2 linked regions of the Ovis aries genome follow. The protein of the gene in region 1 interacts with the protein of each later gene in a biochemical or structural test. Links are inferred from orthologs where the notes say so. Each region holds a gene or a part of one and is shown in the gene's direction. Other genes may lie near its edges.

The links. The genes of interacting proteins can lie anywhere in the genome.
Region 2: the proteins of NRIP1 (region 1) and AHR form a complex in vitro, tested with the Homo sapiens proteins (2 studies listed by BioGRID). The link is inferred for Ovis aries from reciprocal best matches to the Homo sapiens genes NRIP1 and AHR.

What each region holds. Positions count from the first base shown.
Region 1 is NC_056054.1:142,918,784-142,926,171, forward strand, and holds the start of NRIP1 (nuclear receptor-interacting protein 1), read left to right. Parts: upstream 1-3,375; 5' UTR 3,376-3,716; exon of another isoform or gene 3,717-4,058; intron 4,059-4,335; exon of another isoform or gene 4,336-4,602; intron 4,603-7,388. UniProt on the Homo sapiens protein: Modulates transcriptional activation by steroid receptors such as NR3C1, NR3C2 and ESR1. Also modulates transcriptional repression by nuclear hormone receptors.
Region 2 is NC_056057.1:26,823,540-26,830,460, forward strand, and holds part of AHR (aryl hydrocarbon receptor), read left to right. Parts: intron 1-1,787; coding exon 1,788-3,024; intron 3,025-5,181; coding exon of another isoform or gene 5,182-5,184; exon of another isoform or gene 5,185-5,843; coding exon 5,844-5,978; 3' UTR 5,979-6,921. UniProt on the Homo sapiens protein: Ligand-activated transcription factor that enables cells to adapt to changing conditions by sensing compounds from the environment, diet, microbiome and cellular metabolism, and which plays important roles in development, immunity and cancer.

The sequences.
Region 1 (7,388 bases):
ACTTTGAATGAAAGAATATAAAATGTTTATTGAAAAGTTTTTATGTTGTATACACACTGAAATGATATTTTTGGTAGTTAAATTATTGAAATTAATTTTACCTGTTTCTTTGTACTTTGAAAATGCGGCTACTAGAAAATTTAAAGGTATATCCACAGCTCACATTTGTGGCTGAGTTTATGTTTTTATTGGACAGCATTTTTCTAGATGTTGAAGGACTTTAACTGCATAACTATACTAGACTTTCATCTGTATAGATTTCTGTTCTCTGTCATAGTTCATTAGTCATTAGTTCATAGTATATAAGGTAAGTTCAGTACTTCTCAACACATATTTCTGTTTTCTTCACACCTTACTACTGTTAGGCAGTCTTTTCCCTCTTAAGAACCCTTTCCCACTGGCCTAGTTGGCAAATTCTTACCTTTTAATAGCCAGTTAAAGCATTCTTTTCCCTGTAAAATTTTCTCTGAACGCACTTCCTCCACACTTGTACCCAAACTAGAAATACAGATTGTCCTCTGGATTGTGAAAGTTGTTGTCGTTCAGTCACTAAGTTGTTTCTGACTCTTTGTGACCCCATGGACTGAAGCATGCCTAGCTCCTCTGTCCTTCACCATCTCCCAGAGTCTGCTCAGATTCATGTCCATTGAGTCAGTGATGACATCCAACCATCTCATCCTCTGCCACTGCCTTCTCCTTTTGCCTTCAATCTTTCCCAGTGTCAGGGTCTTTTCCAATGAGTTGGTTCTTTGCATTAGGTGGCCAAAATTTTGGAGCTTCAGCTTCAACATCAGTTCTTCCAATGAATAGGGTTGATTTCCTTTAGGATTGACTGGTTTGGTCTCCTAGCAGTCCAAGGGACTCTCAAGAGTCTTCTCCAGCACCACAGTTCGAAAGCATCAGTTCTTCAGCGCTCAGCCTTCTTTATGGTCCAACTCTCACATCTGTACACGACTACTCAAACGACCATAGCTTTGCCTATACAAAACTTTTCTATACTGTGAAAGTATCTTGCCCAATATCTACTGGATGCCTACCATTTGCAGAACACAGGGATAGGTGGGACATATCCAAACATGAACCAAAAAGACATGGACCCTATGCCTGTAGTGACTGCATCTAGAATGGGATACAGATAAGTAACCCAGTCACCAACTGGAGTGAAAAGTGCTATCACAGACAGGTTCAGGGAGCGCATCATAAGCATGCCTCTCCCAGACAACTTCTTTGTGGCAGATAAAAGCTCTGAGCCTGAACTATATGTATCTGATCCCACAGGAACCCTGAATTTAAAAAATAGTTGTGTGTGTAAGTATAAAAGCTCAAGAGCATCTTTTTCACATCACAATTGGTTAAAATGAGTTGACTTCAAAATACAAATTCCAGAATAGGCATTCTTCTATTACATATATGCCCCAGTATCCTTACAATGACTCTCTTAGCCAGGAAATTTAGGTATTGATTTTTTTAAAAAACAAAGTACAACAACAAAATAGCCCTAAAACAATTAGAATGATTAAAAATGAATTCCACAAAGGTGTGCAATTTACTTAACATTAATGTACTATCAAAAAGAGTTAAGGCTTTCAATGATTGGATTTCTGTGGGTTTGAGAAGATAGATGAAGAATTAAGTGAGGAGCTCTGTTAAGTTATCTAACATTTTGCAGTAGACTTTTTAACAGGAGTGTTAAAAAGGGCAGGACCTGTATTTGGCTTGTTGCATTAACTGTGTAATCTTATTTACTAGGAGGTCGTTTATCTACCAACCACAATGATCTAAAACCCAGTTAAGAAGAAAAAAGAATGATTTTAAAGCATCATTTGAGTAGTCCACATATCTGCCACAAGGTCGATGCACTAAAGTTCACCTGCCTTTCTCCTTGGTGAGCACATCAGTTCCTTACATGGCACTATTTTGTTTTACTTTAGACTGAATGGTGACAAATGAGGCTATCTGGAATCTCAGTCTGCACCAGACTAGCAGTTGCCAATCAGAAGAGGAGGATAATGTTAGAGACAGGAACCCTGGCAAAAGAGAGAAAAGATTGTTAGTTAGGGAAGGGGGAGAGAGAGCAACTATGAAAGACAGAGATGATCACTGGATCATAGTATCCTGGAGTCCTTCAGGGAGAGGACTGATGGCTTCTATTCATCCTGGGAGCATCCCTGACTCCTAGGAAGGAGCTTGATAGAGAACAGGAAATTGATGTAGTCCTTAAATTCATTATAACCTACTATCAAAATTAACTCTGAATTTTCAAGAAAAAGCCAAAAAATGGCTTAAGAAAATAGAAACATTTATAATACGTTTTCAGAAAATCTTTGTACAACAGTTTTAAAGAAAATTAGTTTGATTCCTTAAAGGGTCACACTCCAATAATGCTGCCTATCACTTAATTCAAACAGTTGGCTCTGAATCAATCCTGGATAAATGTTGTCATGCAGAACAGTGGACTTTACTAAGCTGCCTTGAACAGATTTCAAATGGTGGTAGATACAAATAATAAGCTCTCATATGAGGTTTAAATATATAAGATGGCAACAGATCGCACAGTTGAAATCACTAGGGTGATGTAAAATAATTGTTCTAAAATGCACTATCACCATGAAGAAAAATCTTCCTGCCATGTGCCCAGCACTGTGCTAGGTGCTGTATTATTAAGCATTCTTCTGAAATATCGCTTTCCCTTTTAAGACTGTGAAGGTGTTCCCGAATCCTCATTCATATTTTTAAAGGTTAAATGACATTTTACACGCACAACACAACCATTACATAACAGGCATAGAATACTGTTCTATGACTTGGATAGTTTTGTGTTTTTTTTTTAAGTGCACTAGCAACTTTATTTTAAAATGCTGTCGAATCCTTAAGGATCTGAAAACCTACACATAGGAATGGAGTGTCTTATCCACTCACTTGTTTTGTGTAATAAGTGTTTAAACACAGGCATGCCATTTCGGAGTTTACAGTGAGCCTAAGCTGTACTTCAGCGTTTTTGCAGCAAGCAAAAACAATTTCTGCAACGGTCCTCATTTCCCCTGGCAATTTTTTTTTTTTTCTTTTTCTTTTTCATGGCGAGTTACTAAATGCTAGATGCTAGAGTCAAAAAGAAACCTGACATCTGGGGAGGTGTTGCGGGGGTGTTAATAGTTCTAGCTTGATGTTTGGGGAGAGCCTTGAGGATAAGATTTTAAAACAGCAAATACACGGAGAAGGGGGAAATGATGGTTTCGGATGACTCTCTCCTCCCTCCACTTTCTCTCTTCACCAATCCGTATCCCCCCCAATTTAGAGGCGGGTTCAGGGAGATCAGGCTGCAGGAAACCAGGAGGCTCTCCGGGGCTGCCGCCCCGGCCTCGTGATGTAATTGTTATTTCTTACTCGGAGCCTGAACCGGCGGAGAGCTGCCCGAGAAGTGGCAGCTGGGTGCCTTCTGCCTTGTCTTGGAGGGTCAGGTTCGGTCCGAGGACGGTGTCGATTCGAGGAACGGCTCCGCTGGAGACTTCGCAGTGACAAAGCAGCAGAAGATAAACCCTGCTCCCGTCCGAGGAGCTGAACCCGGCGCTCCTCAGGTCTCCTTCCCAGTTTTCTTCTCGGACTCACCCGCCGATTATCCCTGGGTGCCTTCTACGTGCAGGGCGCGGGATCAGAGGGACCCGCAGTTAGCCCCCCCCACCCCCGGCCAGACTAAAGCAAGACACACAGATTACAAGGTGGTGGAAGTTGGGGGGGGTGGGCGAGAGGGAGCCCAGGAGACACGGGTCGTGGGGTGAAGTGGGAGGAGAAGGAAGCCTAAGATGCCGGCACCCAGGAAGGGACCCGGGGCGTCCCGACCCCCAGGCTGAGCCCCCTTCGCGGGCTTTTGGCCTGGGTCACGAGAGTGGTCCCCACCCCCCCGGGAGCCCCAGGAGGAGCTGTCCCGGCGCCTTCGGCGGCGGTGGGGGCTGCTGGACAGAGCTGGGAGCCGCGGGGAAGGGCTCGGGGCGCCTGGAGCACCCACCTCTCCCGGCCGCCGCGCTCTTCCAGCTGCCTCGGGGCGCCCGCAGCCCCCGCCCGGCCGGCCGGAGGGCGGGCGAGGAGGAAAACCAGCCAACCGAGGGGGCCCCGCAGTTCCCGCGAGCCTCCGGGACCCGAGCGCGTGCCTGCCGCCCCGGTGACAATGGAAGAGAGGGGGAAAAAAGGGTTAAGAAACTTGGCTGAAGAGCTGAATGGCGTGGAGCGGCGAGGGGAGGGACTGGGCCGCGGCCGCCTCGGCGGCGGAGGGAGGAGCGCGGCTGCGGGCGGGCGGGCGGGCAGGCAGGCGGCGAGCGAGGCGCTCAAAGTCAGCCTCGCAGACATTGCAGCAGAGCCCCGAACTCGGGAGGCGGCGGCGGCGGCGGAGGAGGAGGCGGCGCGGCGGCGGCGGCCGAGGCGGAGGGACGACCCGGCCCCGCGCTCGCCCGCGCGCCCGCCCGTGGCCTCGCGGCGGCCGCTGCGCCCGGCAGCGCTGCCGATCGCAGGGAAGAGCTCGCCGGGGCGCCGAGGGAGGACGGGGCGGCGGGGCGCCTTCGCGGAGTGAGCTGGCCGGAGCCCCGGCGCTCGGAGCTGCGGCGGCCTCGGGTGAGTGGCGGCCGCGGCCGGGGGGCTCGGACGAGCGGCCGCCGCCGCCGGAAATGGCCGGGAGCGCGGCCCGCGGCGGCGTTGGCTTGGCGTTGGCGGGCAGGGCCTCGGGGGGCGTCGGGGCGGCGGGGGGCCCGCGCTGCGGGGCGGCGGGAGCGGACGCGGACGGCGGGGTGAGCTCGGCGGAGGGGGACGGCTTCCGGGCAAATCCCGCCTCTCCTGCCGGCTCCGAACCTGCCCGGGAACTCGGGGGGCCCGGGCAGCGGGGCCGGCAAGTTGTGGAGTTGGCCCGGGGGCTCACCGGCGCGTTCTTGGCCGTCCTGGGCCGGGGACGGGAGGGCGGCCGCCGTGTTGCCCCGGACCCGGGCCGGGGTCGCGCCCCCGCTCGGCTGTCCTCCTCGGCCCGGAGCCCCGGGCGCTTCTCGTCGCGCCGTTCTCAGTCCTGCTGCCCCGGGCGTCCTGGGCGGCGCCGGGCGCAGCTCCCCCCGCCTCTCGCCCGGGTGCCTCCCTGCTCTGAGCTGGCCGGATCCCGGACTGGGGAAAGTGGGTAGGCAAGGGGACCGCGCTCCCGGCCCCTAGCCGACCCTCGGGTCCAGCCAGGCCCGTTGGTACGTGTCCTTCCCCTCCCGAGGGCGAGGCCCCTGGGACCCGAGGCCTCAACCATCACTTTTCTCCGGAGCCAGAAAACCGGGCTCACCTCTAGAGTGAACCCCGTGCAGGTCCTGGGAGGCTTCGTTTTTCTCTCCTACATCTATGTGTCCTCTTCTACTACTAGCGGATATTGTCTTATGAAGGGTTTCCCGGGAAATATTCTGCAAACCGTCACAACCCTTCCAAAGTAGTTTTCCAAATTTTAATCAAGAGTTGCTGTTCCGTCTGGAGGAACAAAGGAATCAACTATGTCTTAGAGGCGAACAGTCTGCGAGTCTGTGACACATGTTGATCTCTGAAGTATTATAGGAGTTTTTACCTTCTATCTCGTTATTGAATTGAGTTTTGAAGATAGTAGACGGACAACAGAAGTACTTTTGTGTTTAAAAAAAAAATTTCAATAAGGCGTTTTTATGTTGAAAAAGAAGTAATACGTTCTTAGCCACAGGGACTTTTCACTCAGTTGGTGGAACTGAGTTGGAGTTTGTCTCCGGTAATATAAATGATTAAATGTGAAATTGTGCGGGGCGGGGGAGGGGTTGGGGAGGGGGTACTGTTCTTAGAGGAACAGAGTCCATAGGATGAAAGTGAAAAATGGTTGTGGAGTTACAGATGATGGTTGTTTTTTACGTTTGGTGAGGGAGTGATTTGTGAAGCAGAGGGCTCTGGTAATTCATTCTTTAAAGTTATGAATTGCATTGAACCTGCTTATTAGAGAATCATGACTTTAGCAAGTGGGTGGCATCTTCCCGATGTGATTCTTCAATGCTTAATCACTAGTTTGCCACCTTTGTTGTTGAAGACACAGTGAGATAAGTGGACTTTTTAAACAAATGGTGCTTCCTCTGCCTGGCACCAAAGTGTGGGTTGCTGCCTGGAGTATGTTGAAATGTTTTCAGCTTTGAAGTAAGTTGCTCTGGTTTTGCCCAGCGTTTTGGTAATGTGGTTTGGGTTTAACTGGTTTCAGAGAGTAGTGGCTTCATCACTAGTGCTAACTTTTCTCTGCTTGAAATTAGTTCCTAAAGACAAAGAAGATTCCAGCAGTGGAACAGCCATTATCCTGCGGGCTGCAGGATTATTACTTTAGTCTGTTTCCTACACTCTGGTGGGGAAAGACCTCTTTCCACACTTACGCCTTGAAACTGCCCTAGGAGCATGAGTAAAATACTTACAAAAAAACAAACAAAAAGGACTCCTCATTGTTGGTTTTACTCCAGTGCGCTCTCTACAGTGCCTTTGAGGTAGTTGAAAACCAGGTTTAATGCTTGGACCACTTCCTGTGTGGGTCTCCAAACTTTTACTAATTGTCCACCCTAAAACTGTATAAGTTTGCAGTAAAAAGACATGAGTAAAAGAGGCTGAAGGCTCCTCTGACTCTTGCAGTTTTTTTAAGAGCAAAACATCATGATAAAAAATAACCTATACCACCACCTAGAGTCTGTTTGTTAGTTTATTGCTCCTGAAGTTTGCTTCAGTGGACATGCCTCTTGTGGTTCTGATACAGCCAAAGAATTATTAAGAAATGCTAACTTTCAAAAGGCCATCCAAGAGAATGATTATTTGCGTGGTAAATAGCAGGTGCCAGTTTAAATTACGCATGCTACCTTTACAATAGAAAATGATGACATACCGGGTTAAGTGGGCTATTCACCAAAAGATATTAATTCAAAAGACTTTAAGAAATTTTGTGTCTGTGCTTTAGGTAGTTCTAATTGCTTAAAGACTCTCTGCATTGTTACCAGAGATTCAAGACCTCTTACAATTTAATACCATTAGGACTTCCTTGAGGTCCAAGTGAAACAAAAGCAATGATCAAATAAAAATATAAGGGAGCATCAGAACTCCAGAAATTCTGGGAACTTTAAAGGTAAGAGAGAAGGTAGGCTATAGTAAAGTTGCAGTTCAGAGATGTGAAAAGTAGCATCACTATGAAATCAAGTGGCAATCTGTCCTGCTGGTAGTTTTTACATAGTGAAATAATCTGTTAAATGGGAGGATGGGAGACCTTAAGAAGATAGCTCTGTTGCCATGTGGTTTAGTACATTGTCCAGGGAGGAAGTAACATTCCTTCTTTAAACAGTGTAACCCGAGAGAAAGATGGCCTCCAAGATCTTTAATTAAATACCAGTTGAACA
Region 2 (6,921 bases), on another chromosome or scaffold:
CGGCCCACCAGGCTCCTCCATCCATGGGATTTTCCAGGCAAGAGTGCTGGAGTGGGGTGCCATTGCTTACCTGAGTCTTATACATATTTTAATTTTATTCCTAGATATGTTCTATGATGTTGTTTTAAATGGTGTGCATATATATATATATATATATATATATATATAAAAATATATAGAAATAGTTGAGTTTTTAATATTGGTGTTTTATATCTAGTGACCTTCATCTCACTTATTAATTCTAATAAGGTATCTGTAGACATTTTTCTAAGGTTTTCTTATATGTCCTATGTTGTTTGCAAATAATTTTTTTCTTTTAACCTTTAGACTTCGTTTTGTTCTTTTTTTTAAGTTCTTCCATTGTAGAATGCAATGGAAATAATGATAATTCATTTTGGTCTTAATCCCAACTTTAAGGGAGAAAGACTTCAAATACTTGATCATTTCATATGATATTTGTAAGTAGTCTTCTGTTATTTTTGTAAATACTGGGTTTATTGTTTCAGGTTTAAAAGCATCCCTTTCTTCAGTTTACCAGAAGAATATCATCGTCATGAGTGGTTGTTGAATTTTTACACCAAATACTTACTTCGCATTCATCAACATCATGATTTTTCTCCTTTATGCTCTTATTTTCTTTCTGTTCTATAAGTTCTGTACTCATATAATTTTAAGACATATTTTCTGGTATTAGGAATTTGTGCCCTGTCTTCGTCACTATTCCTCGAAGGCCGTTAATTTTATCATCCTTCTCAAGGAGTCAGCTTTTGTTTTATTGATTTTTCTCCTGTTATACATTTGTTACCCAGTTATGTCTGTTCAGTATTATTTCCTTCCTTCTACTCTTCTTGGGTATAATTTGAATTTCTTTCCATCTTTTTCTTTTTTAATGTATTTGGTTAAGGTATTAGTTTTTCTTTTAAGTATGATTTTAACTACAGTCCTTTGTCTTTATCATTCAGTTGAAAATATGTGCTAGTATTTGACTTGTTTATTCAGGAATTATTTAGAAACATAGTGTTATGTACTGTTCAATACTAGGGGATTTTCTAGTTGTCTGTTTGTTACTTGACTTTAATTCCACTGAGGTTAGACAATAGACTGAAGGAATTCAGTCCTTTGAAATTTGTTGTGGCTTATTTTATAATCCAGTGTATGGTCAGTGTTGATAAAATCTCCTACAAACTCTTATCAAGACTACACGTTCCCTTGTATGTACAGTATTCTTTACGTATCAGTGGTCTGGTTTGTTTTGTTCACGTTTTTATACATTTGCTATTTTTGTTTGCTTGTTCTATTAGTTATAAAGAGGTTGTTAGACCTATTTGGAGCTCTTTACGTAATACCAGCATTAAATTTTACACATATACACACTATATAGTATATATGAAACTATGACATTTATTCCATGCCTTAACCTAACTTACGATTGTTTTCCCATGCAAAACATTTTAATTTTCATATGTCAATCTTCCTTTAGAGCTTTATATTTCAGCATGCCTCACTGGTATATTTGGATCTGTGTTCCATTCAGAATTTGTTTTTTCAGGTAGGGATGGAATCTGAGAGTGAAATTAAATTTTTGGACAAAGTCTATCCAAAGTTCTGTAAACAGTTTTAATTACTTGTCATCAGAAAGATTTCTCTCAAATTTATGTTCACCTCTAGCAAATTTAACTACTATGTATTTTGTGTGCTAGTTTTTCTTTTTTAAAATTTCTTATTTTGGAAATGTTTAGGATACGGCTTTTTCTAATACGTGCAAACTTTCTTGTGCCCAATTGTAGCGATGAAGAAGGAATGGAGCACTTAAACAAACGCAACATGAAGTTGCCATTTATGTTTACCACTGGAGACGCCGTTCTATATGAGATAAGCAGCCCCTTTCCTTCCATAATGGATCCCTTACCAATAAAGACTAAAAATGGTGCTGGTGGAAAAGACACACCAACTCTAAGTAAGGATTCCCTCAACCCCAGTTCCCTCCTGAATGCCATGATGCAACAAGACGAGGCTATTTACCTCTATCCTGCCTCAACTAGTGCACCTTTTGAAAGGAATTTTTTCAGTGACTCTCTGAATGAGTGCAGTAACTGGCGAAACAGTGTTGTGCCTATGGGGAGTGACAGTATCCTGAAACATGAGCAGATCAGCCAGTCTCAGGACATGAACCCAACTCTCCCTGGAGATCATGCCGGGCTCTTTACAGATAACAGAAACAGTGACTTGTACAGCATTATGAAACACCTAGGCATTGATTTTGAAGACATCCAACACATGCAACAGAATGAGGAATTTTTCAGAACTGACTTTTCCGGTGAAGATGACTTCAGAGATATTGACTTAACAGATGAAATTCTGACCTACGTTGAAGACTCTTTAAATAAGCCTACCTTCGGGTGTTCAGGGTACCCTCAGCAGCCAGCCGTGGCTCTGAACCCTAGCTGTATGGTCCAGGAGCAGCTCCAGTTAGACCAGCAGCAGCTGCAGCCCCATCAGATGCACACAGCAGTGGAACAGCAGCAACAACTGTGTCAGAAAATGAAGCATATGCAAGTTAACAACATGTTTGCAAACTGGAACTCTAACCAATCTGTGCCTTTGAATTGTCCTCAGCAAGACCTCCAGCAGTACAATGTCTTTGCAGACTTACCCGGGACTAGTCAAGAGTTTCCCTACAAACCTGAGCTTGATCCTATGCCTTACCCCCAGAACTTGATACCCTGTAGTCAGCCTGGGTTGCCACCACAACCTCAGGGTACACAGTTAGACTTTCCCATGGGTAATTTTGAACCAGCCCCGTACCCTACTACTGCTTCTAATTTAGAAGATTTTGTCTCATGTTTACAAGTTCCTGAAAACCAACAGCATGGACTCAATCCACAGTCGGCCATGGTAGCTCCTCAGACATGTTACGCTGGGGCTGTTTCAATGTACCAGTGCCAGCCAGACCCTCAGCACAGCCAGCTGGCTCAGATGCCGTACAACCCAACCACGCCGGGCTCACAGGCATTTGTAAACAAGGTAAGGGTATTCTCAAACTGAGTAAGTCCTTTCAAATGCCTCTTCATAAATTATAAACAGATGTAAATTATGAGTTTTCTGTCAGTGACTGATTTTAACATTTTATCTGTAGCATGTATGGGAGAACATTTCTAATTTTATTTGTGACTATTTTGTGTAAGCTGGTACCTTTACATTACTAATACAAGTATATCATTTAAAAGAAATCAAGGACGAAAGCAGTATGAATACATCCATAAGTTAAAAGTAAAATTACCAAGTAAAATTAGTTAAAAGTACACTGTTTAGAATAATGTTGATTTTATTTTTAAATCTGACCTTTTAAACATGCTGACTTAGAAAGCTTTAAGGTTTTAAAAATAGCTTTTTCAAAGCTCTTTTTTTGTTGTTGTTGACATAGTTGATTTACATTTTCAGGTATATAACACAGTGACTCAGTATTTTTATAGATTATACTCATTATTATTAAATGTTGACTCTTTTCCTGTTGAAATTGGGTTAAAACCAGTATCAATGTGCTTCCTTCAAATACTTTTGTCCTAGGTGATCTCTGTTAAAAGTCCTAGGCTCCTCTGTGTTCTATCTTCATTTTATCCTTCAAGGTAAAATAGTTTTTTCCCTGGTATCTGAAGAAAAATAAGAAAGGTAACTTTTCTGGCTTTCTATCACGAGACTCAAGCTGGATGTTTTTAAATGTGTCATTCAGACCCTTCTACCAACATGGTAACTTAAAGTACTTCCTAATGATCGCTGCTCTTCGTGACCACCCAGGAATCTCTTATGCTTGCCTTTATGCTTTTCCATTAGAAAATATTGAGTTAATGTTGTGTATTTTAGTCATGAAGCAAATCCCAATAAGACTGTAATAATAGTTTATAAATGTCATTTGCAGCTTTCGCATTGTTTTTTCCTGATCTTCTTTATACACTTGGTTTGTTTGATTACATATGAGTTTTTCCCTAGAAAAAACTGTGAAAAAATTTCTTATCCTCATTCCTGACATTGTTCAGTTATAATAAAATTTAACAATGAGTTACAATCTATCTCACAACATTGCTGCAGAATAAGCACAGGTAGGTAACTTGTAAACTGTAGAGAAGTGAATTATATAAAATTATATTCTGAAGAGGGCCTGCATTAGCACCAGCTCCTTACAGTGTTTTCTTTCCCACTGTTTTGTGTTACTTCCTTATGAATAGTAAGAATTCTGGACCTACATATTCCCCCAAGGAGTTATTGGACTTCCCTGGTGGCTCAGACAGTAAAGAATCCGCCTGCAATGCAGCAGACCTGGGTTCAGTCCCTGGGTTGGGAAGATCTCCTGGAGAAGGGAATGGCTAGCTACTCCAGTATTCTGGCCTGGAGAGTTCCATGAACAGAGGAGCCTAGAGGGTTACAGTCCATGGGGTCGCAAAGACTTGGAAATGACTGAGCACCTTTAAAAAAAAAAAGTTATTAAATCTAAAAAAAATTGGAACTCCATTTGTGGCTCACATTGTATTTCTGTTGACTAGCACTGCTCTAGACAAGTCTTTTTTCAGGTGGCGCTAGTGGTAAGAACCCACCTGCCAATGCAGGAGACATAAGAGACACAGGTTCGATCCCTGGGTTGGAAATATACCCTGAAGGAGGAAATGGCAGCCCACTCCGGTATTCTTGCCTGGGAAATCCCATGGACAGAGGAGCCTGGCGGGCTACAGTCCATAGGATCCCAAAGGATAGGACACGACTGAAGTGACTTAGCACACAGTCTCTTTAAAGACAATTGCTGATGTGCATTGTATTGAGTGATGAAAGTAATTTATCCAAAACCTACCTTTTAGTGGGCGATTATTACCTTCCCTTTGAAAACTTGACAACGTTTAGAAGGACTGAAACCTAATGTTACATAGGCTTTAGAAAGGTAAATTTCATTTGAAGCAATTAAAGGTATGATTATAATCCATTACTTTCACTAATTATACTAAGATTCAAAAGTTCTTTAATCTATAAGAACCTGTAGAACTATGGAATTATTCAGGTCAATCGCTCACTCATGTCCAACTCTTTGCAACCCCATGGACTGCAGCACGCCAGGATTCCCTGTCCATCACCAACTAATTATTATTCCACAGAACTGTGTGTCTCAAGGTCCTCCCCTCCCTCCTTTTTTTCCAGTAGCACTTATGGAAATGAGACTAAATTTCATTGTTAAAAGGTAAGAGCAAGCATTTTACTTTGGTAATTTTTATTTCCATAATTAGGACAATAAGTTTAGTAGTACTTTGAAAGCATATTATGAATAAAATTGGTTATAGAAATCATACCCATGGTATATAGTATATAAGGCATATTAAGAAACCTCTCGCAAATCATAACTTGCTGCTTTTCAGAAAGTTCTGGGTTATCTGTAGTCCAATGTGGTGATCTTGAATGTAGTTAGTTTATTGGTACCTAAAACTTACTGAGATACAATCTGGTCAAAGCAGACTTATGACGGAGAATAGTACCTGTGGTTCGTGGCTAGTACCTTCTGATCCAGTGGCTCCTGCCCAAACCAAAGGCATTTCATTGATCAGATAGTCAATGGATCGCCACATCTAAAGTGAGACAATGATATCACTCACCTATACTATCTAATGGAGAAACTGAAAGATTCTAAGTGCAACTAATACATGTGTTCAATACAACTTCACTGAATGAGTTAAAATAGCAGTAAAGGAGTTTGAAGTTTAACAAGAACAACTTGGAGGATAAAGATTTTAGAACTACATTTCACATACCTGATGGTTTAATATATATGAAGGATCTGTTCTAATAAGTTGTGTTGCTGTTTGCAGTTTCAGAACGGAGCAATTTTAAATGAAACGTATCCAGCTGAATTAAACAGCATGAGTAACACTCAGCCTGCCACCCATCTTCACCCATCAGAAGCCAGAACTTACCCTGATTTGACATCCGGTGGATTCCTGTAATTCCAAGCCCACTCCTCACCTTGGTTTTTGAGTAGTTTGTGAAGCATCACAGAGTAATAAGACTGTCCTTGTTGGATGTCAGCAAGTTCACATGGAGGCATTGATGTACGTGTTATTTTCACTGTTATAAAAACATTAAAATCTGGTTTGTAATAAGAGGAGTTATTCACCTATACTACCATCATTAGAATAGTATGCTGTCACAGAGGAGTGAAATACCATCTACAGTTTACAGTATTCTGAAATAATACCACAGAATATACAGAACCTTTTCAGGGAGATATTTTGACAGTTTTAAATATGAAAATTTTTTCTCTGGTGGAATTACTTCCATCAGATTGAAATAAAATACTTTGTGTTTTGAACTTGTAGATTATTAGTGTACCAAATATGAACTATTTCCTTTTACTCTTAGCTTCTGCTTTTATCTCAGAGGTTAAAACAAATGGTTTGGTGCTTGTATAAAAAGATAATCTCAGTATGCTCCTCCCTCCTTGGTAATGTAAGTGCCTCACACTTTTTTCTACCTATAACACTGTAGGGAGTATATTTTATGTAAAATATATATTTACATAAAATATACTTTTTCTTTTTAAAATTAATAACATTCTGCACACAAATATTATTGGTATTTCTTAAATTCAGTCATTTTTATTAATCTAGGCATGTTTCAACTGCACTACTCACCCACTTTCTTCAGGTAAAGAGCAAATAATGGTTGAAAAGAGAAATATTTATTACTTACTCTAGTTGTTTCTAGATTTTAATGTTGCCGTGTGCCTTACGTTGAAAAATTTTGGAAGTGGAAATATCTTCCTAAATTTTTTTTTAGTTATTGTAAGAGAGCAGCACTAAAATTTCAAGAGTTTTCAGAAGTAAGAGATATATCACCATTTAGCTTTACTAAAATCTCCACCTTAATAGTTGAATGTTGCCCTGTAAA